Linked DNA regions of Anolis sagrei. The protein of the gene in region 1 purifies or fractionates together with the protein of each later gene. This does not show direct contact. Links are inferred from orthologs where the notes say so. Each region holds a gene or a part of one and is shown on either strand. Other genes may lie near its edges.

Region 1 (7,131 bases):
ACATCATCAACAACAATGAGAGGCACCCCTGTAACAGTGTGAAGACAGGCAAGGGAGAGGAAAAGGATCTCCAGTGATGATACATCTCCACTACAAGTGAGATGGCCACTGTTGAGTCCCAAATTGGGTGAAAGCAGAATAAAAATATAGTAATATAATTATAACAGATGTAAAAAGAAGTGCATCTGTAACAAGGCAGACAAGGAAGGGAAGAAGGGTTTTTAGCAACCATAAATCTCCACTGTAGTGTAACACCCTCTATGAGTCCCAATTTTTTGTAGGGGAGGGGAGAAGGATATGGAGAAGGAGACAAAGACTGTAATAATGGAATTTAAGAAAATGTGCACCTGTAACAGCATGGAAGACAGGGAAGGGAATGGAGAAGGATCCTCGGTGACTATAAATCTCAGATATAGTGAGACAGTCACTATGAGTCCTAATTTAGGGGGTGAACGTGGGGTATAAATATAATAATAAATATGAAAAAGAGGTATATCTGTACCAGCAGTGGAGGCAGAAAAGAGAAAGGAGAAGGATCTTCAGTGACTATAAACCTCCACTACAAAGAGACAGTTGTTTTGAGTCCCAATTTGGGGATGAATGAAATATATCATCATCATCATCATCATCATCATCATCATCATCATCATCATCATCGGGTGTACTTTTTGGCAGGAAAGGGTGGGAAGAAGGATCTCCACCTACCATAAATATCCACTACAGTGAGATAACCACTACAGTGAGATAACCACTACAGTGAAATAATTGAGTCCCAGTTTGTGGGAGGGGCAAAGGAGGTAATAGTAATGATAAAGATAATAATAATGATAGGAAGGAAGGCAGGCAGGCATATATGTAACAGTGCGGAAGTTAGGAAAGGGAGGAGAGAGGGCTCCTCAGAGACCATAAATCTCCACTGTAGTGAGTCCCAATTTTGGGTTGGAAAGCAAACTAAATAAATAAATATGATAATAATGGAATTAAGAAGAGATAAAGGGCAGTACTACTAGTACTAATAGTAGTAGTAGTAGTAGTAATAAATATAATACTAACAATAATAATGCAATGAAAAGGAGGGAAAGCAGAGTAGAAATAAACGTAAAAATAATAATGGAATTAAAAGAAGGGAAAGCGGAGAACAAATAATAATAATAATAATAATAATAATAATAGTAATAGTAATAGTAATATGATCGGCACACTGGGTGCAGTGCCTAAAGATTTTGGTCTGCACTTAAACACAATCGGCGCTGACAAAATTACCATCTGTCAGCTGCAGAAGGCCACCTTACTGGGATCTGCACACATTATTTGCCAATACATCACACAGTCCTAGACAATTGGGAAGTGTCCGGTGCGTGATCCAATGCAACAACCAGCAGAGTGATCTTGTCTGCTGTGGACTCATCTTATTCTGTTTCAAATAATAATAATAATAATAATATAATCAAAAGGAATAAAAGAAGAGTCCAAATAAATATGATAATAGAATTAATAATAAATATAATAATAAAAATATAAATAATATAGCTAATAATAGAATTAAAAGGAGGGAAAGTGGAGTAAACAAATATAATAATAATAATAATAATAATAATAATAATAATAGAATTGAAAGGAGAAAAAGAAGAGTCCAAATAAATATAATGACAATTAAATTAATAATAATAGTAATATAATTATAATGCAAATAATAAATATGATAATGGACTTTAAAAGAGAGAATTTGGAGTACTTGCAAGTATAATGACAATGGCATTAATAATACATATACTGAATACAATACTAATACAAATAATAAATATAATAATAGAAATAAAAGGAGTGAATGAAGAGTCCAAATAAATATGACAATTAAATTAATATAATAATAATAATAATAATAATGCAAATAATAAATATAATAATGGACTTTAAAAGAGGGGATTTGGAGTACTAGTAAATATAATGACAATGGCATTAATAATAATCAATATAATTAAAAATGTAATGTTCGTTTGTGGGATTAGCATAACTCAAAAACCACAGTGTAGACCTCACAACCTCTGAGGATGCTTGCCATAGATGCAGGTGAAACGTCAGGAGAGAATGCCTCTAGAACATGGCCATATAGCCCGAAAAAACCCACAACAGCCCAGTGATTCTGGTCATGAAAGCCTTCGACAATACATTATTATTATTATTATTATTATTATTATTATTATTATATATAAACTGGGCCACAGCAACACGTGGCAGGGGGACGGCTAGTCATAAATATAATAATACATATACTAAATATAATAGTAATACAAATAATAAATATAATAGTGGAATTAAAAGGAGGGGGGAAAGAGCCCAAATAATTATAATGACAATTAAATTAATAATTGTCTTGTTACATCCTGAATAGATTACTGCAACGTGCTCTACGTGGGGTTGCCTTTGAAGACTGTTCAGAAACTTCAATTAGTCCAATGGGCGGCGGCTAGATTACTCACCGGAGTGTCATACATGGAGCATACCACCCACCTCCTATGTCAGCTCCGCTGGCTGCCGATCCAATTCCGAGCACAATTCAAAGTGCTGGTTTAGACTTACAAAACCCTATATGGCTCCGCCCCAGTGTACCTGTCCGAACATATCTCCTTCTATGTCCCACCCCGGAGTTTAAGATCTGCTGAGGGGGCTCTGCTCTCGGCCCCACCTTTATCACATGCAAGACTGGTGGGGACGAGGGACAGGGCCAGGCATGTAGCCGGGGGGGGGGGGGGCTCGGGGGGCTTCAGCCCCCCCCCCCCCGAAATTCTCATGGTGGTTCGCGAAAAGGCCTTACTGGTGCATTATTTAAACTGTTATGTTTATTCATATCATGATCTTATCACCATACTCAATATATCCCATATGCATGGGGGTATTGGGGTAATGATACAAAAGGTTTGCTAGGCTAGACCCTCTTTCACTCAGACTCAGCCCCCCCCCCAAACGAAATCCTGGCTACGGGCCTGGACAGGGCCTTCTCGGTGGTGGCTCCTCGCCTGTGGAATGCGCTCCCTGGGGAAATTAGGACATCAACATCCCTTCTCTCCTTCAGAAGGAAGCTAAAAACCTGGATGTGGGACCAGGCCTTCAGGTAAGCTGGCAGATGGACAAAGACAACCAATAATGACCAGAGTAGGAAAGGACAATGACGATGATAGATGGTTTACGGACTTGGATTTGGTGAACATTGACCACAAGATGTTTTTATTGCTGCTAGTATACTGTTTGATTGTTTTAATTAGTTATAACTGACATTATATGGCAAATTTGTGTATTGTATATTGTATTGTATTTTGTGAATTGTTGGGCATCGAATTGTGCCTTTTGTAAGCCGCCCTGAGTCCCCCCTAGGGGGTTGAGAAGGGTGGGGTAGAAGCGCCCCAAATAAATAAATATAATAATATAATAATGCAAATAATGAATATAATAATGAAATGAAAAGGAGAGAAAGTGGAGTCCAAGCAAAGAGAATGAGAATGGAATGAAGAAGACAGAAAGCAGGGTATCAATCTAAATAAATAATAATATCAATAATAATATCAATCTAAATAAATCTAAATAAATAATAAATAAATAATCAATCTAGAGAACAACAGCTATATCTAGCAACCCTCCAGGAGCGCCTCACCCTCGCCTCCTGCTTGAGGGTGCCAAAGAAGGGCTGCCTACGAGGCCCCCACCCTCCTTTCCCGCCCCTCACAGTAACGACAAGGAACGAGTGAGGAACGAACTACCCCCTTCCCTCCCCTCCCCTCCCCCAAAGTGACAGCGGCCCAGGGGGCTGACCTTTCCCTCAGCGCGCGTGGCCATCTCGCCGCCTCCTCCTCCTCCTCCCATTAAAGACACATAAACAAAGCCGTCTCGCGCAGGGGAGGGGAGGGGGGGGTGGCGGCTGAACGGAACAGCCCAACGGTGAAGCGCGAGAGCAGGAGGAGGGAAGAGGGGAGGGGGATTTAAATCCCCTCAGGGCACACTCGCGACGGGAACTACATTTCCCATAGTGCCTCGGGAGAGAGGGAGGGGGGCGGTACCTCGCTGGAGTGAGTGAATGAGGGAGGAGGAGAAGTCGGGACCCGAGGCGCCGCGGGGAGTCCGTCCCTCTGTGAGGTAAGCGCCGGCGCATGCGCAGTGGCTCCCTCTTAGGCCCTGCGTCGTCCTCCTCCTCGGGTGTTATTTTCGAGGGGCCCCCGTGCTCACCTTGTGTCTCCCTCCTCGCGCCGGCGGTTGGGGCCTTGTCCCCCTCTCCCCTCGCCACCTCAGGATGTCGGAACAGACGGGCTTGGTGATGCCGCAGAGCCTGGACAGGTAATAAAGCGAAGGGGGAGAGGCGGCCTTGGTGGTGGTGGTGGAGGAGGAGGAGGGTGGGCGCCATAGACACCGGGACGACTGGAGCCTTTGGGGACACAATTAAGAAATCTTGCTGACTGGAAGGTTGGAGATTCCCTCAATAATCTACCCAACCAGGATGTTGTGAGTTTTCCGGGCTGTATGGCCATGCTCCAGAAGCATTCTCTCCTGACGTTTCGCCTGCATCTATGGCAAGCATCCTCAGAGGTAGTGAGGTCTGTTGGAACTAGGAAAATGGATTTATATATCTGTGAAATGACCAGGGTGGGACAAAGAACTCTTGTCTATTGGAGCTAGGTGTGAATGTTTCAACTGACCACCTTGATTAGCATTTGATGGCCTGGTAGTGCCATCTATGGCAGGTATCTTCAGAGGTCGTGAAGTCTGTTGGAAAGTAGGCAAGTGAGATTCATATATATATATATATATATATATATATATATGCTAGCTTATATATATATATATATGGAAAATAGAGGAAGAAAATGTGGAGGCCGTGACAGACTTTGTATTTCTAGGCGCAAAGATTGCTGCAGATGCAGACTGTGGCCAGGAAATCAGAAGACGCTTACTTCTTGGGAGGAGAGCAATGTCCAATCTCGATAAAATAGTGAAGAGTAGAGACATTTTTTTTATTTATTTCGGGGTTCTTTTACCCCGCCCTTCTCACCCCCGAAGGGGACTCAGGGCGGCTTACAAAAGCAAAGGCACAATTTGATGCCTGCATCACAGAACAATCAAAACACAAAATTACATCAATTCACAGTTAACAACAATTCATGCATTATACCAATAAAATCAATAAAAGCAATACAAACCCAATTCCTTCTCCTACATGGTCAGTGTTCGCTAACTCATAGTTCTAATTTTCAGTTCCACTTCGTCAATCCTGTTGGTCTTACTCGCCTGATTGTCTTATTTAATTGCCAGATTGCCCAAAGGCCTGGTCCCATAACCACGTCTTCACCCTCCTCCTGAAGGAGAGGAGGGATGATGATGCCCTGATTTCCCCCGGGAGTGAGTTCCACAGGTGAGGGGCCACCACTGAGAAAGCCCTGCTCCTCATCCCCACCAGACTCACTTGTGACAGTGGTGGTGTCGAGAGCAGGGCCTCCCCAGATGATCTCAGACTCCGGGGTTGGACGTAGAGGGAGATACGTTCGGACAGATACACTGGACCGGAACCGTACAGGGTTTTGTAGGTCAAAACCAGGACCTTGAATTGTGCTCGGAACTGGACCGGCAGCCAGTGGAGCTGACACAGGATGGGGGTGGTATGCTCCCTGTATGTCGCTCCGGTGAGCAGTCTGGCTGCCGCTCGCTGGACTAGTTGAAGTTTCCGAACAGTCTTCAAGGGCAACCCCACGTAGAGAGCGTTGCAGTAGTCTATTCGGGATGTAACAAGAGCGTGGATCACCGTGGCCAGATCAGACTTCCCAAGGTATGGGCGCAACTGGTGCACAAGTTTTAATTGCACAAAAGCTCTCCCGGCCACCGCCGAGACCTGGGGTTCCAGGCTCAGCGGTGAGTCCAGGATCACACTGGCAACAAAGATCCGCATAGTCAAAGCCATGGTATTCCCTGTAGTAACCTACGGATATGAGAGCTGGACCTTAGGGAAGGCTGAGCGAAGGAAGATAGATGCTTTTGAACTGTGGTGTTGGAGTAAAGTTCTGAGAGTGCCTTGGACAGCGAAAAGATCCAACCAGTCCATCTTCCAGGAAATAAAGCCCGGCTGCTCATTGGAGGGAAGGATACTAGAGACAAAGTTGAAGTACTTTGGCCACATCATGAGGAGACAGCAAAGTCTGGAGAAGACAATTATGCTGGGGAAAGTGTAAGGTAAAAGGAAGAGGGGCCGACCAAGGGCAAGATGGATGGATGGCATCCTTGAAGTGACTGGACTGACCTTGAAGGAGCTGGGGGTGGTGACGGCTGACAGGGAGCTCTGGCGTGGGCTGGTCCATGAGGTCACGAAGAGTCGGGGACAACTGAATGAATGAACAACAACAATATATGCTAGCTGTCCCCTGCATGCGTTGCTGTGGCCCAGTTTGTTGATCTGGTAAATAAAGTAATGAGGAAGTGTTGGTTTCTAATATATGTAATTTCTTTATGCTTGTTGGGTAAACAGTATTTCTTGCTGTTTCTTTGTCAGTGTTGATGTGGAGATTGTCTGTTTGTCTCCTCTGGAACATTCAACATATAATTGTCCTTCTTTAGAGGTTCCTTTCAAATCTATGATACTATATTTGTGTGTGTGTGTGAGTCATATATATCTCTCTATATCTATGAATGGATGGCTCTTTGTCAGGAGGGCTTTGATTATTTTTTCTTGCCCTGGTAAAGGAAGTTGGACTGGATGGCCTTAAATATTTTCTGTTGGTCTTGGGAGTTCTGTGTGGGAAGTTTGCCCCAATGCAGTAGTTGGTGGAGTTCAGAATGCTCTTTGATTGTAGGTGAACTATAAATCCCAGCAACTACTAATCCCAAATGTCAAGGTCTATTTCTCCCAAACTTCATCTGTGTTTATATTTTGGCATATGGAGTATTCGTGCCAAGTTTGGTCCAGATCCATCATTATTTGAGTCCACAGTGCTCTCTAGATATGGGTGAACTACAACTCCAAAACTCAAGGTCAGTGCCCACCAAACCCTTCTAATGTTTTCTGTTGGTCATGAGAGTTCTATTTGCCAAGTTTGGTTCAATTCCATCATTGATGGAGTTCAGAATGCTCTTTGATTATAGGTGAACTATAAATCC
Region 2 (7,635 bases), about 70 Mb from region 1:
AATGCCAAATTATAATGATGTTTGGGGAAAGCTTTTAGAACAGAAGTGCAGCTGAATAAATGGTGTCGGACTAAACACTTCAGATAGCAAAAATGCCAAATTATGATTATGTTTGGGGAAAGCTTTTAGAACAGGAGTGCAGCTGGACAGATAGTGTTGGACTATCAATCCCAGCATCAACTGCTAGCAAGGACTGGTGGGACGGTCAAATATCTGGATAGCTTCATGACTCCTACTCACATTCAGAATCTAGAATAACTACTGTGTCTGAACCATTAGTAAAAGTTTCTTTGTAACTGCTGTCACTAGAAAAGACGAAAGCATTTGTTTATGGTTTATTGTCAAGTTGTGACATTGAGAACGTGTTGTTTTTATACTTATGAATCCAATGAAGCCTACAACTGCCTGTATTTCCATTTTATTTAAGCCTCAAATGTAGGATAGAAAAATGAGTGAAATATTACCTGTATGTTTTCTAGAAGTGTGTTCCAGTGTGTCAGAGACATTTTTCTCTGTGCGGAATGCACATAGAATTGTTGTCTTAAATAATATTTGATTACACAAATTATTTTGTGTGAATAAAGTGTGGTGAATGCTCCTTTGGAGGCTTTTAAACAAAAATGGTCATCTGTTGGGGATGCTTTGAATGTGATTGTCCTGCTTCTTGGCAGGAGGTTGGACTGGATGGCCTACGAGGTCTCTTCCAGCTCTATGATTCTATGAATAGACATTGAACCCAAAGCTTTCAAAATGTTCAGGATGGCATTTAGTCCTGAGTGCAAAGAACAAGTAATGTTTTGTAATGAAACATGGCGTAGACTTGTGAATAAGGCCTGAAATGGAAAATAAAAATGCACATTTATGTCATCATTACATTTTTTTTATCTATGTGTCAAAATACTTTATTTAAAAAATAAATAAAAAAACAAACTAGTCTAAAATGTATGAGCCTTTACATTTCCAGACTTCAGTGATGCATAGAAGTTTCTTCAGAATGGAAAGTTGTTCCAGCTGGTAACAAAATTGCAGGTGCTAAGTGTTGATAGAATTTCAGGCAAATTCTGTGAACTCACAAAACATTTCAGCCATGCAAGCATAATGTATAATGACTCAAAACAAAAGTTTCCCATCTTAATTTTAACAGCAATACTCAGATCTGGAATATGTAAAATAACAAGTGTATGTATATGTAAAATACACTTGAATTTTTGATGTGGGTTAGTTTCTTTTAAAAATCAAGAACATTGTGCGTCTATTGTACAACTGCCATTGGAGCACAAAAGATACACCTGCTACATAAGACAACCTTCTGCCCCAACACTTAAGCAAACCATTGCCTATCTACTCAGAAGCAACCACTATGGGTTGTGCAAGATCACAGACTGCTATCAGCTGCTTCCCTTAAAAATGGAAAAGGAGGACACCTCACAGAAGATACTCTGGAAGTCACGAAGAAAAAACCAAATTTAATTCCATTTTTTTTCCTTTTTCTTCATCTTTATTTTTATTCTTATTTTTAAAATTATTATTATTACTTTATTTTTCTTTCTTTCTCTCCGTTTTCTTTCAAGGCCACTTTTAGATTTTAGTCATGTTATAGAAAATCTCAATAAAGGTATATATATTTTAAAGAAAGGCAAATATTCAAGACATTCTGGATACTAGTTGCAATGTCTCTTGATGCAATCAATGCAGAAATCAGATCCATCGAATGACCTCCAATTAAAGAGATGTATACAAAGTCTGGAAAATAAATGAATTCATATGCAACTACCATGAATCCCATTCTGGAAGAAAGGTGTAGTACTGTGTATAAATAAACCAAATAAAAATAACCATAAATCAAATTCTATGAGAAAGATGGACTATAAATTTAAAGATATATATCACCATAAATCCTATTTTGGTAGAAACTATATGAATCTATTGAATGAATAAAATCATTGTGAATCTCATTCTGGGAGAAAAGCACAATATATGAATGCAATCATTGTGAATCCCATTCCGGAGGAAAAAGTCCGGGTGCAAATTCTATAAATAAATATGATCCTCGGGTTGTTTTTTTATGTTTTCCAGGCTGTATGGCCATTTCCAGAGGCATTCTCTCCTGATGTTTTGCCCACATCTATGGCAGGCATCCTCAGAGGTTTGGGGGTCTGATGGAAACTAGGCAAGTGAGGTTTATATATCTGTGGAATAATGTCCAGGGTGGGAGAAAGAACTCTTGTCTGCTTGAGGTGGGTGTGAATGTTGCAATTGGCCACCTTGATTAGCATTGAGTGGCCTTGCAGCTTCAAAGCCTGGCTTATTGCTGCCTGGGGATCCTTTGTTCGGAGGTGTTAGCTGGCCCTGATTGAGACTTGTCTGGAATTCTGCATTTATTTATTTATTTATTTATTTGGAGTGCTTCTACCCCGCCCTTCTCAACCCCCTAGGGAGGACTCAGGGCGGCTTACAAAAGGCACAATTCGATGCCCAACAATTCACAAAACAATATACAATTTACAATTTAACATCAATAGTTATTACTAGTTAAAACAATCAATTGTTAAAACAATCAATAGTTAAAACAATTGTATTAACAGCAATAAAATCATTTTGTTGTCAGTGTTCGCCGATTTATAAATCCATAATCCATCCAGGATTGTCATTGTCCTTTCCTACTCTGGTCGTCATTGTCCTTTGTCCAACTGCCGGCTTACCCGAAGGCCTGGTCCCAAATCCAGGTTTTTAACTTCCTCCTGAAGGAGAGGAGGGATGTTGATGACCTAATTTCCCTGGGGAGCGTATTCCACAGGCGAGGGGCCACCACCGAGAAGGCCCTGTCCCTCGTCCCCACCAGTCTCACTTGTGATAAAGGTGGGGCCGAGAGCAGGGCCTCCCCGGAAGATCTTAAACTCCGAGGTGGGACATAGAAGGAGATACGTTCGGACAGGTACGCTGGGCTGGAGCCGTAAAGGGTTTTGTAGGTCAAAACCAGCACTTTGAATTGTTGCTCTTTAATGGGAGGTCGTTCGATGGACCTTTTAGGCTATTGCTCTTTATTTACTGTCCTGATTTTAAAGAGCAACACTCAAATATCAGGGGAATTACTGACATGAAACAATAATGGCCAGCTAACACCTCCGAACAAAGGATTCCCCCAGGCAGCAAGCAGCCAGGCTTTGAAACCGCAAGGCTATTAAATACTAATCAAGATGGCCAATCGCAACATTCACACTTGCCTCTAACAGACAAGAATTCTTTCTCCCACCCTGGACATTCTACAAATATATAAATCCCATTTTCCTATTTTCCAACAGACCTCACAACCTCTGAGGATGCCTGCCATAGATACAAAATGGGGGACAATGCCTGGCTCAAGAGCAGTTTGTGTGAAAAAGATCTTGGAGTCCTCGTGGACAACAAGATAAACATGAGCCAACAATGTGATGTGGCGGCAAAAAAAGCCAATGGGATTTTGGCCTGCATCAATAGGAGCATAGTGTCTAGGTCCAGGGAAGTCATGTTACCCCTCTATTCTGCTTTGGTTAGACCACATCTGGAATATTGTGTCCAATTCTGGGCACCACAATTCAAGAGAGATATTGACAAGCTGGAATGTGTCCAGAGGAGGGTGACTAAAATGATCAAGGGTCTGGAGAACAAGCCCTATGAGGAGCGGCTTAAGGAGCTGGGCATGTTTAGCCTGAAGAAGAGAAGGCTGAGAGGAGATATGATAGCCATGTATAAATATGTGAGAGGAAGCCACAGGGAGGAGGGAGCAAGCTTGTTTTCTGCTTCCTTGGAGACTAGGACACGGAACAATGTCTTCAAACTACAAGAGAGGAGATTCCATCTGAACACGAGGAAGAACTTCCTGACTGTGAGAGCCGTTCAGCAGTGGAACTCTCTGCCCCGGAGTGTGGTGGAGGCTCCTTCTTTGGAAGCTTTTAAACAGAGGCTGGATGGCCATCTGTCAGGGGTGATTTGAATGCAATATTCCTGCTTCTTGGCAGGGGGTTGGACTGGATGGCCCATGAGGTCTCTTCCAACTCTTTGAGTCTATGATTCTATGAGATGGAGGCGAAACATCAGGAGATAATGCTACTGGAAAGTAGTCATACAGCCCTGAAAACTCACAGCAACCCAATGATTCCGGCCATGAAAGCCTTCAACAACACATTAATACAATCCTCCCTAAGTATAGTGATTTTGTATTGTCGAAGGCTTTCATGGCTGGAATCACTAGGTTCTTGTGGGTTTTTTCGGGCTATAGAGCCATGTTCTAGAGGCATTTCTCCTGACGTTTCGCCTGCATCTATGGCAAGCATCCTCTGAGGATGCATCTCAACCTCTGAGGATGCTTACCATAGATGCAGGCGAAACGTCAGGAGAAATGCCTCTAGAACATGGCTCTATAGCCCGAAAAAACCCACAAGAATATAGTGATTTTGCTTCATCCAAATTTCCCTTCCTCTGCATCTTTGCATGGCAGCTGTCAAATGGGAACCGGAAATATTGCCCGCATGACATCGCTTCCTAACTCTATGGGAAGAGTTAGGAAGCAGGGAACGCGAGGACCGTCCTTGAGGATTTGTGACGCAAGCGCGAATCAGCCTGGAGAAGAAAGGGGCGGAGTTATCTTTCTACGCACGCGCAGTTGGAAGAAGGGAGGGTTTGCTGCCCGGAGTCAAGATGGCGGAAGCGGGTGAGTGAAGCCTAGAAGGAAGGCGCTGCTCAGAAGCGGAAGTGGGAGCTGCTGGAGCTGAGAGGAGCCGTTGCCAGGTGAGGGGAGGCGGAGGGTTTAGTTAGGTAACAACTTCGCATGTATTTCTACGTCTAGAGCAGGCCTGGGCCAACCTGGGCCCTCCAGGTGTTATGGACTTCAACTCCCACAATTCCTAACAGCCGGCAGGCTGTTAGGAATTGTGGGAGTTGAAGTCCAAAACACCTGGAGGGCCCAGGTTGGCCCAGGCCTGCTCTAGCTGCACTAGGCCTTCTTCTTCTTCTTACTATGTACTATTTTTTATCCAAAGCTTGATATGTTTTCACAGACCTGCAGATCTTAACTTTTAAAACATGTTTTAAACAGGTTTTATGGGAATCTGGAGTTGTAAATCCAGAAACATGACCTCGGCTTTTTTGCTCCATCTTTAAAGCAATGTAAATCATCATAGGTAGGTATCATAGGTACCTATCATAGGTAAATCATCATAGTGTGTGTACCCACATAATTAAGTTCAATATGAATTATAAAGTGATGCAGTTCAATCTAGGTAACAACTTCACGTGTATTTCTATGTCTAGAGCAAGCCTGGGCCAACCTGGGCCCTCCAGGTGTTTTGGACTTCAACTCTCACAATTCCTAACCCCTTTGTTACGCCAGCTCCACTGGCTGCCGATCCAATTCCGAGTACAATTCAAAGTGCTGGTTTTGACCTACAAAACCCTATACGATTCCGGCCCAGTGTATTTGTCCGAACGGCTCTCCCTCTACATCCCATCTCGAAATTTAAGATCGGCTGGGGAGGCCCTGCTCTCGACCCCGCCACTATCACAAGTGAGGTTGGCAGGGACGAGGAGCAGGGCCTTCTCAGTGGTGGCCCCTCACCTCTGGAACTCACTCCCCGGGAGTTTAGAACAGCAACTTCCCTTTTGGCATTCAGAAAAAAATTGAAGACGTGGATATGGGACCAAGCTTTTGGATATTCTGGCAGCTAAGGAAAGATCTGACGATAAACAAGGGTGAACGGAATGGAATGGATAAACGGACTCTGAACACTGAGCATGAGATTGTTTTGCTATTTTACTATGTATTAATGTTCTTAACTTGTTAATCGTTTAAATTGTTTTTATGTATTGTTTGTTTATTGATTTAGGCATCGACTTGTGCCTTCGTTTGTAAGCCGCCCTGAGTCCCCCCTCGGGGGTGAGAAGGGCGGGGTAGAAGTAATTGAAATAAATAAATAAATAAATCTGAATGACATGCTGAGTATGTGGACCCACATAAAGCAGCTCAATCTGAATTACAGGTTAGATGCAGTTCAATCTGAATCATATGGTAAGTGTATAGACCCACATAAATAATTTGGTGGTCAGTTCAGCCTGAATGCTATGGTGAGTGGAGACCCACACAATGCAGTTCAATCTGAATGATATGGTGAGTGTGTAGACCCACATAAAGCGGTCCAATCTAAATAATATAGTGGTCAGTTCAGTCTGAATGATATGTGAATGTAGACCTACATAATGCACTTCAATCTGAATGATATGATGAGTGTGTAGGCCCACATAAAGCAGTTTAATCTGAATTATAAGGTGATGCAGTTCAATCTGAATGATACGGTGTGTAGACCCACATAAAGCTCATCAATTTGATATCATAGGTAAATATGATGAATTTGGCATCAAAATTAGTAATGAAATTTGTGAACAATCTGTGTGTAATGCGTTTTTGTGGGGTTTTTTTTTCAAATTCAGCATCCAATAATACATTAAAAAAAACTACAGCAGTATTCAAAAGAGTTATTTTAATCACAGTCCTGGGAAATATTATTTCATTTGAATTCAGTGCTCTCTCCACCCATCAGCTAGAATAATTTAGGCTCCTTCCACACAGCTGAATAAAATCCCATATTATCTGCTTTGAAATGGAATATATATATATATTGTGTGTGTGTGTGTGTGTGTGTGTGTGTGTGTGTATCTTATATAAATACAAATGTAATGTTTGTTTGTGGGACTGACATAACTCAAAAATCACTGGACGAATTGTCACCAAATTTAGACACAATACACCTATCAGGCCAACAAGTGACCATCGCTCATAAAAACACTGGAAAACACAACAGAAGAGACTTAAAAAACAAAAATTGCATTACAATGCATGCGCAAAACCATACACACACACACACACACACACACAATACACACAAAACACATATACACAGACTGGGCCACAGCAACACATGGCAGGGGCAGCTAGTGTGTTTCTGTGTGCACACACGCAAACACACATACAGAAATATATATATATACAAAACACATATACACAGACTGAGTCACAGCAACGTATGGCAGGGGACAGCTAGTGTGTGTATACACGCCTACACGCACATACATACATATAGGTTGCACATATAACTTGTAAGCCACTCTGAGTTCCCTTCGGGGTGAGAAGGGCGACATATAAATGGCTTAATTAATTAATTAATATATGGCAGTGTGGACTCAGATAACCCATTTCAACGCAGATATTGTGGGATTTTCTGCCTTAATATTCTGAGTTATATGGCTGTGTGGAAGGGCCCATCGAAATGTAAATTTAGTGTATTTGGCAGCTGGAAATGCCACAGTCTTCACATCTGCTCCAGGAGGAAAACCTCAAAAAGAAAAAAAGAAAACTGCTTCTCTCTTTTATCTCGCCCGAGTTTTTAATTAGTTTTAATCAGTTTATCTTTTAATCATTACATGTAGCACACCCATTATTACTGTGCCTGTGCATATTGTAATTTCTATTTTGTTATGTATTCATATGTTTTATGTAACACTGATGTTATTATTTATTGTTCACATTTTCGATTTGTGTTTTGGTTTTTCTTTATTGTAATTGTCATTTGGGCTTGGCCTCATGTAAGTCGCTCCGAGTCCCCA
Region 3 (7,161 bases), on another chromosome or scaffold:
TTTTATCTCATCCAGAGGTTTATCATTTTACGTCATACATTTGGCTCACCCATTGCATTTGATTTTTCATTTTGTTACTTTGAACTGCTTTATTGTACTTTTAGGTTTTACTTATTTTATTGTGATGTTATTTTTGTCGCTCTGTATTTATTTTGCTGTAATGTTGCCCGAGGGCTGAAAAAAGCGGTATATAAATAAAGTAAATAATATATAAATAAGGTAAATAAGTAATGTACTACCGGGCTTGGCCTCATGTAAGCCGCCCCAAGTCCCCTTTGGGGAGATGATGGCGGGGTATAAATAAAGTTTATAATTATATTATTATAAACCTTTAAACAGAGGCTGGATGGCCATCTGCCAGGGGTGCTTTGATTGTGCTTTTCCTGTATGGCAGGGGGTTGGACTAGATGACCCAGGTCGTTGCTTCCAACTCTATAATAGGCATGAGCAAGTGTAATGATTCTTACCTAGTAGGCTGAAGGAGAAGCCAGGGATATCAGTGAGGTAGGCCTCCGTTTTGGGAGTGTACGCAAAGGAAGCAGACATCTTGAGAGGGTAAAGTGAGAAGAGGGGAGGAGCTGGAGATTTCTTAGGATTGGTTAGGACAGATGGGAGGAGTTAAGTCCTGAGAGGGAAAAGTGTCAGCTTCACAGAGAGAAGGGTTTTAGGAATTGAAGAAGAGAGATTGAATTTGGGAACAGAAGAGAGAGGAGAGGTATTTTTAGGCTTAGGATTTTTCTGACAGAGCGTTTGTGACAGGCAAGGCTGCATTATTGGCCAGGACGGTCAAGTAGTCACCTGGGTGCTTGTGTGGGCTTACACAAGTGCTTTGCTCTCTGGGTAGAGTAGATTAGCCACATAGAGAACTCTGCTTAGAGTGGGCTAATTGCTCTGAAGACAGCCTGAGTAGGTTAGTCTAGGGAACTCACTGCTACTGTATTATTGTAGAGTGAGGAGTTTTACGAGTGACTAAGTCAAGTAACCTGTTTAAAGTAACCATCAAGAATACTGTACTGTAGTAACCATTTAAGCTTTTGTGCCTCATCAAAGAAGACAGTTGTTTGTTTGATCTTATCAATAAATCTTTTATCTATTTCAACTTTTAAAGAAGCCTCGGTTGTAATTCATTCCTGTGAGAATAATCCTAGTTGTTTTAACATCTTAACATCACAGTCATCTCAGGGAGCTAAGGGAGAAGTGTGTGGCAAGGAAGAAGTTAACCTCAGAGAATCATTCTTCAATATCCTGAAGTATTTTAGGTGGTGGCAGCAAATCTACCAGAGTACACACTGTGCTGGTACAGCTGTACCAGGAGCTCCAATTCTGTTTGCTTTGCATTAAATGTTTGTTTGCAATCCCAGGCTTGGGATTTTGTAGCAAGGTGGCTTCCTGTTATAGGTTGCAATCATAGGGCAAGCCACCTGTCAATTATCGATAGGTTCCCTGATCCCGCCCCTTTTTGAGTTTTAGTGGGAATAGAAGCCATTTTGAGTTCAGTCCACACAGAGCAGCTTTCCATACAGGACATGAAACCAAGAGCTCCTGTAGAAAGCTTCGTCTTCTACGGCTTGGCCAGGGAGATATACAGCCTACAGCTTGGCCGGGGTTATACAGCCCACGGCTTGGCCGGGGAGACACAGCCCACAGCTTGGCTGAGGATTTTGCAGCCTTACAGCTCCTTTGCTGAGGGACTTCAGCCGGCCATCACTGAAACCTGAACTCCTTTTTTCCCAAGGAAGTTTACAAAGCTCTGCTTGATAAGGGCCGCTTGCAGAAGCCAGACGCAGTTGGTACCAGGTGCAGGGGCTCCATGCCAACAGAGGCAAGTACAGACTGCCCAGATTAGAAGTTAAGGATTTCCCCATTAGTTAGTATACAGTTATGAAGATAGTGCCTGTTCCCAGTGAACAAGATTGCAAGAGCCAATAGACTGTTAAGAAAGCTTTAAAGAACCTGTTTGTTTTCATCAATAAAGAACTTTGTTGGACTTACTTTAAGCCTCTACAGAACTCTGTTTGGGGGGAATCCAAAGGCCTTTAATCTGAGGCAGCCCCGGCGTCCCGTTGGGAATTTATGTCCTGTCTACAGTCATATGCACAGGCCCAGTGTGCGACAGCACACACGTTACCTCATATATATATACAAACACTCTGTGAAAGAACCTATATTCCTTTATACTGGTGTCAGCAGGTGGGATATGTGATATATTTTCCCCCCTGACAGCGTAAAAGGTCCCTTCACCTATATGTAATTTCGTTACGAGTGGTGACCAGCGGTGTAATTTAGAATAGCATACTTATAATAACTCCGTATCAGGATCACGTTCCTTTATAACAGTGTTTCTCAACCTGGGGGTCGGGACCCCTGGAGGGGTCACGAGGGGGTGCCAGAGGGTTCACCAGAGACCACAAGAAAGCACAGTATTTTTTGTTGGTCATGGAGGTTCTGTGTGGGAAGTTTGGCCCAATTCAATCATTGGCAGGGTTCAGAATGCTCTTTGATTGTAGGTGAACTATAAATACCAGCAACTACAACTCCCAAATGTCAAGGTCTATTTTCCCCAAACCCCACTAGTGTTTACATTTGGGAATATTGAGAATTCGTGCCAAGTTTGGTCTAGATCCATCATTGTTTGAGTCCACAGTGCTCTCTGGATGTAGGTGAACTACAACTCCCAAAACTCAAGGTCACTGCCTACCAAACCTTCCCAGTATTTTCTCCTGGTCATGGGAATTTTGTGTGCCAAGTTTGATTCAACTCCATTCCCTAAGGTCCAGCTCTCACATCCGTAGGTTACTACAGGGAATACCATGGCTTTGCCTAGGCGGTGGAGTTCAGAATGCTCTTTGATTGTAGGTGAACTATAAATCCCAGCAACTACAACTCCCACAGGACAAAACTAATACTCTTCCCCAATCCCACCAGTATTTAAATTTGGGTGTATTGGGTCTTTGTGCCAAATTTGGTCCAGTGTATGAAAATACATCTTGAATATCAGATATTTACATTACTATTCATGTTGTTGTTGTTCATTCGTTCAGTCGTCTCCGACTCGTGACCTCATGGACCAGCCCACGCCAGAGCTCCCTGTCGGCCGTCACCACCCCCAGCTCCTTCAAGGTCAGTCCAGTCACTTCAAGGATGCCATCCATCCATCTTGTCCTTGGTCGGCCCCTCTTCCTTTTACCTTCCACTTTCCCCAGCATAATTGTCTTCTCCAGGGTTTGCTGTCTCCTCATGATGTGGCCAAAGGACTTCAACTTTGTCTCTAGTATCCTTCCCTCCAATGAGCAGTTGGGCTTTATTTCTTGGAGGATGGACTGGTTGGATCTTCTCGCGGTCCAAGTCACTCTCAGCACTTTCCTCCAACACCACAGTTCAAAAGCATCGATCTTCCTTTGCTCAGCCTTACCTAAGGTCCAGCTCTCACATCCGTAGGTGACTACAGGGAATACCATGGCTTTGACTAGGCGGATCTTTGTTGCCAGTGTGATGTCTCTGCTCTTTACTATTTTATCGAGATTGGACATTGCTCTCCTCCCAAGAAGTAAGCGTCTTCTGATTTCCTGGTCACAGTCTGCATCTGCAGTAATCTTTGCACCTAGAAATACAAAGTCTGTCACAGCCTCCACATAGATATTTACATTGCTATTCAGAACAGCAGCAAAATGACAGTTGTGAAGTAGCAATGAAACTAATTTTATGGTTGGGGGTCACCATAACATTAAGGGGTCGTGGCATTAGGAAGGTTGAGAACCACTGCTTTATAGCAAGCTTGGGCCCTCCAGGTAGGCTGTTAGGAATTGTAGGATTTGAAGTCCAAAACACCTGGAGGGCCCAAGCTTGCCCATGCCTGTTCTATTCTAATTGCACTCTTTGGCCTTGGAAAACTCCCATGATTTCACAGCCTGGAGTCAAAGTGCATCCCTTCTACAATGGAGAAGGCTCTATAATGCAGCCTAAGTACCTCATCACTGGAGTATCTGTCTATCCTAGTACCCACTTTAGATCCTCCTGCAGAATCCTAGCGTTTGAGGCCTCCTGCCTCCGTTTCCTGCTTCTCCCGCCGCCCTCTAGGGGGAAACAACGGTCCCAATTGCAGCTGCACTACAACTCCCGGCAGCCTTTGCGAAGGCTTGGCCTCCTGCGGTGGCGCGCATGCGTAGGGCCTGCCGGGAGTGAGCGGGGCCGGCGCCAGTGGTCGGCGGCGGGGGAAGGTGCCAGAGCTCGTGCCCTTCCCTGCCGCCGCCGCTTCCTCCATTCATTGCCCTTCGCCTCCTTCGCCCGCTCGCCGCCATGGAGGCGCTGATTCCCGTCATCAATAAGCTGCAGGACGTCTTCAACACGGTGGGCGCCGACATCATCCAGCTGCCGCAGATTGTGGTGGTGGGCACGCAGGTGAGGCGGGCCGCTCGGGGGCGGGGCCTGGGCGCGTGTGGGCGGGGCCTGGGCCACCACAGTGGGCGGGGCTTAAGCCAGGATGACCTCCACCTGGGCAGAAGGTCTAGGGGTGCTGTTGGAGTGCTCAAGTGAGAGGCTCAAGGGTGGCTTTTATTTTAATTACTCTTATCAATATTTGCATTTGGGGTTTTATTATTTGGTTGGGGTGTTGGCCTACAAAAGTACTTCTCCCTTAATCTGAAATGCTTGGGACCAGGCTTTTCACCAGACTAAGGCGAAAGTCTTGCAAGGCCTGCAATATCTTGTCACTTAATAATTACTTGATTAAATCTTTCCATAGGAATACTGTTTTGTTTTTTCATTTCCAATTTCCATATTTTCAATACCATAGCACCATATTTCCAATATTATTTTACAACACAACAATTTCCAGTACCATAGCATCATATTTCCAATATTATTTTCCAATATGATTTCCAGTACCCCAGCATCATATTTCCAGTATTATTTTCCAGCATAACCATTTCCAATACCATAGCATATTCCCAATATTATTTTCCAGTGCAACAATTTCCAATATTGTAGAATCATATTTCCAATACAATTTCCAATACAATGATTTCCAGTACCATAGCATCATATTTCCAGTATTATTTTCCAACATAACCATTTCCAATACCAAAGCATCATATTTCCAATATTATTTTCCAACATAACCATTTCCAGTACCATAGCATCATATTTCCAATATTGTTTTCCAGTGCAGCAATTTCCAATACCGTAGTATCTTATTTCCAATACCATTTCCAATACAACGAGTTCCAGTACCCTAGCATCATATTTCCAATATTGTTTTCCAGTGCAACAATTTCCAATACTGTAGTATCATATTTCCAATACCATTTCCAATACAATGATTTCTAGTACCATAGCATCATGTTCCCAATATTATTTTCTAGTGCAACAGTTTCCAATACCATTTCCAATACAATGATTTCCAGTATCATAGCATCATATTTCCAATATTGTTTTCCAGTGCAGCAATTTCCAATACCGTAGTATCATATTTCCAATACCATTTCCAATACAATGATTTCCAGTACCATAGCATCATATTTCCAATATTATTTTCCAGTGCAACAATTTCCAATACTGTAGTATCATATTTTCAATACCATTTCCAATACCATGATTTCCAGTACCATATTATTATATATCCAATATTACTTTAAAATACAGCAATTTCCAATTCCATAGTATCATATTTCCAATTCCATTTCCAATACAGTAATTTCCCATATCATGGCATTATACACAGTATGTTTAGGTAATACATTTACATCAGTGGTTCTCAATATGTGGGTCCCCAGGTGTTTTGGCCTACAACTCTCAGAAATCCCAACAAGTTTACCAGATGTTAGGATTTCTGGGATTTGAAGGCCAAAACATCTGGGGACTCACCAGCTGAGAACCAAATCTCATCAGTGGTGTCCAATACTATAGCATATATACAGGATACATGACATTTAGGACCCCCTTGTGACCCAAGTCCAAATATGTATTTTATTTATTTACCCTCTCTCTCTCATTGAAGGACTCAGAGCAGCTAAATTGGATTTTCCCCCCAATACACCTTAACCACATAACCTGAGGATAATTTTATATGGGATATTTTAAATAATTTTGTGCGTGGAGCAAAGCTTGCATGCATTAAACTATCAGAAAGTAAAGGGGCCACTTTGAGTGAAATTCACTGTGAAATTAATGCAGTTTGACACCACTTCCCTAGCTTAGTGTCATGGGATCATGTAGTTTTACAAGGTCTTTAGCCTTCTCTGCCAAAGATTATTACAAACCCAAGAATACCATACCATTGTGCCATTGCAGTTTTCAAATTGCATTTACAGTATAAATGTGCCCTATGCCAGCCCCCCAAGTGGACAGTTTTGTGCTTTGGAGGATTTGGGGTTTCTGGATAAGGAATATTCAGCCTATTACTGCTTATTGCAAGTATTATCCAGTGTTGGTTAAGTGGAGAATTATTAGTGTTCAGAGCACGTTGCAATCCCTATGGGTCTCCTGCTTAATGGCATGCTGCCCAGTTGAAGGGGATGCGTTCCACATTGGAGGATTTAAGTGGGGTGGGGAGATAGGATTTTCAGATCCTGTCCTAATTAAACAATTTGTTCCTGAAAGATAAAAAGCAGCCCTGGATGACATCTTGGAGGCACAGACTGTCCTATTGCTACTGAAGCTTTTGCAATGCCACACAGTACATACTCTCTTTAAGATTGCAGCAACAGTCTACATTATTAGTATTCAGTGCAACAGACTTATGTATTAGATTTAGACTTTTAAAAACCACCAAGGCGGTTCTGGCAGAAAAAAGGCTGGTTAGGAGGTTCCTTGGGGACATTGAGATAGCTGTTCTTGGAAATGGGAGTGATCTTGCTCTGAGCTAGAAAGACAATTCTGATGTCCTTAAAGCTGAAAGGAAACAATATGAGTGTCATAAATGCAAAGATAATACATAGATCTTTAGAACACTGTTGCATGTGGAGTCTGAAGGTTCATCTACACTGCAAAATTAATGCAGTTTGAAACCTTTTTAGCTGTCGTGACTGAATATTAATGGGATTCTGGGAGGTGTAGCTTGTTTGGCACCAGCAGTCTTTGAGATAGAAGACTAAAGTTCTTGTAAAACTACAACACCTATGATTCCATAGCATTGAGCCAAGGCAGGTAAAGCAGTGGCAAACT

The links. The genes of interacting proteins can lie anywhere in the genome.
Region 2: the proteins of MARCHF5 (region 1) and MFN1 purify together in Homo sapiens (affinity purification with western blotting; 4 studies listed by BioGRID, with this or other methods). This does not show direct contact. The link is inferred for Anolis sagrei from reciprocal best matches to the Homo sapiens genes MARCHF5 and MFN1.
Region 3: the proteins of MARCHF5 (region 1) and DNM1L purify together in Homo sapiens (affinity purification with western blotting, with the first as the bait; 3 studies listed by BioGRID). This does not show direct contact. The link is inferred for Anolis sagrei from reciprocal best matches to the Homo sapiens genes MARCHF5 and DNM1L.

Annotation. Positions count from the first base shown.
Region 1 is NC_090023.1:187,038,632-187,045,762, reverse strand, and holds the start of MARCHF5 (E3 ubiquitin-protein ligase MARCHF5), read left to right. Parts: upstream 1-4,124; 5' UTR 4,125-4,282; coding exon 4,283-4,326; intron 4,327-7,131. UniProt on the Homo sapiens protein: Mitochondrial E3 ubiquitin-protein ligase that plays a crucial role in the control of mitochondrial morphology by acting as a positive regulator of mitochondrial fission and as an important regulator of immune response.
Region 2 is NC_090023.1:257,439,602-257,447,236, forward strand, and holds the start of MFN1 (mitofusin-1), read left to right. Parts: upstream 1-4,631; 5' UTR 4,632-4,767; intron 4,768-7,635. UniProt on the Homo sapiens protein: Mitochondrial outer membrane GTPase that mediates mitochondrial clustering and fusion. Membrane clustering requires GTPase activity. It may involve a major rearrangement of the coiled coil domains.
Region 3 is NC_090025.1:176,169,988-176,177,148, reverse strand, and holds the start of DNM1L (dynamin-1-like protein), read left to right. Parts: upstream 1-4,157; 5' UTR 4,158-4,296; coding exon 4,297-4,398; intron 4,399-7,161. UniProt on the Homo sapiens protein: Functions in mitochondrial and peroxisomal division.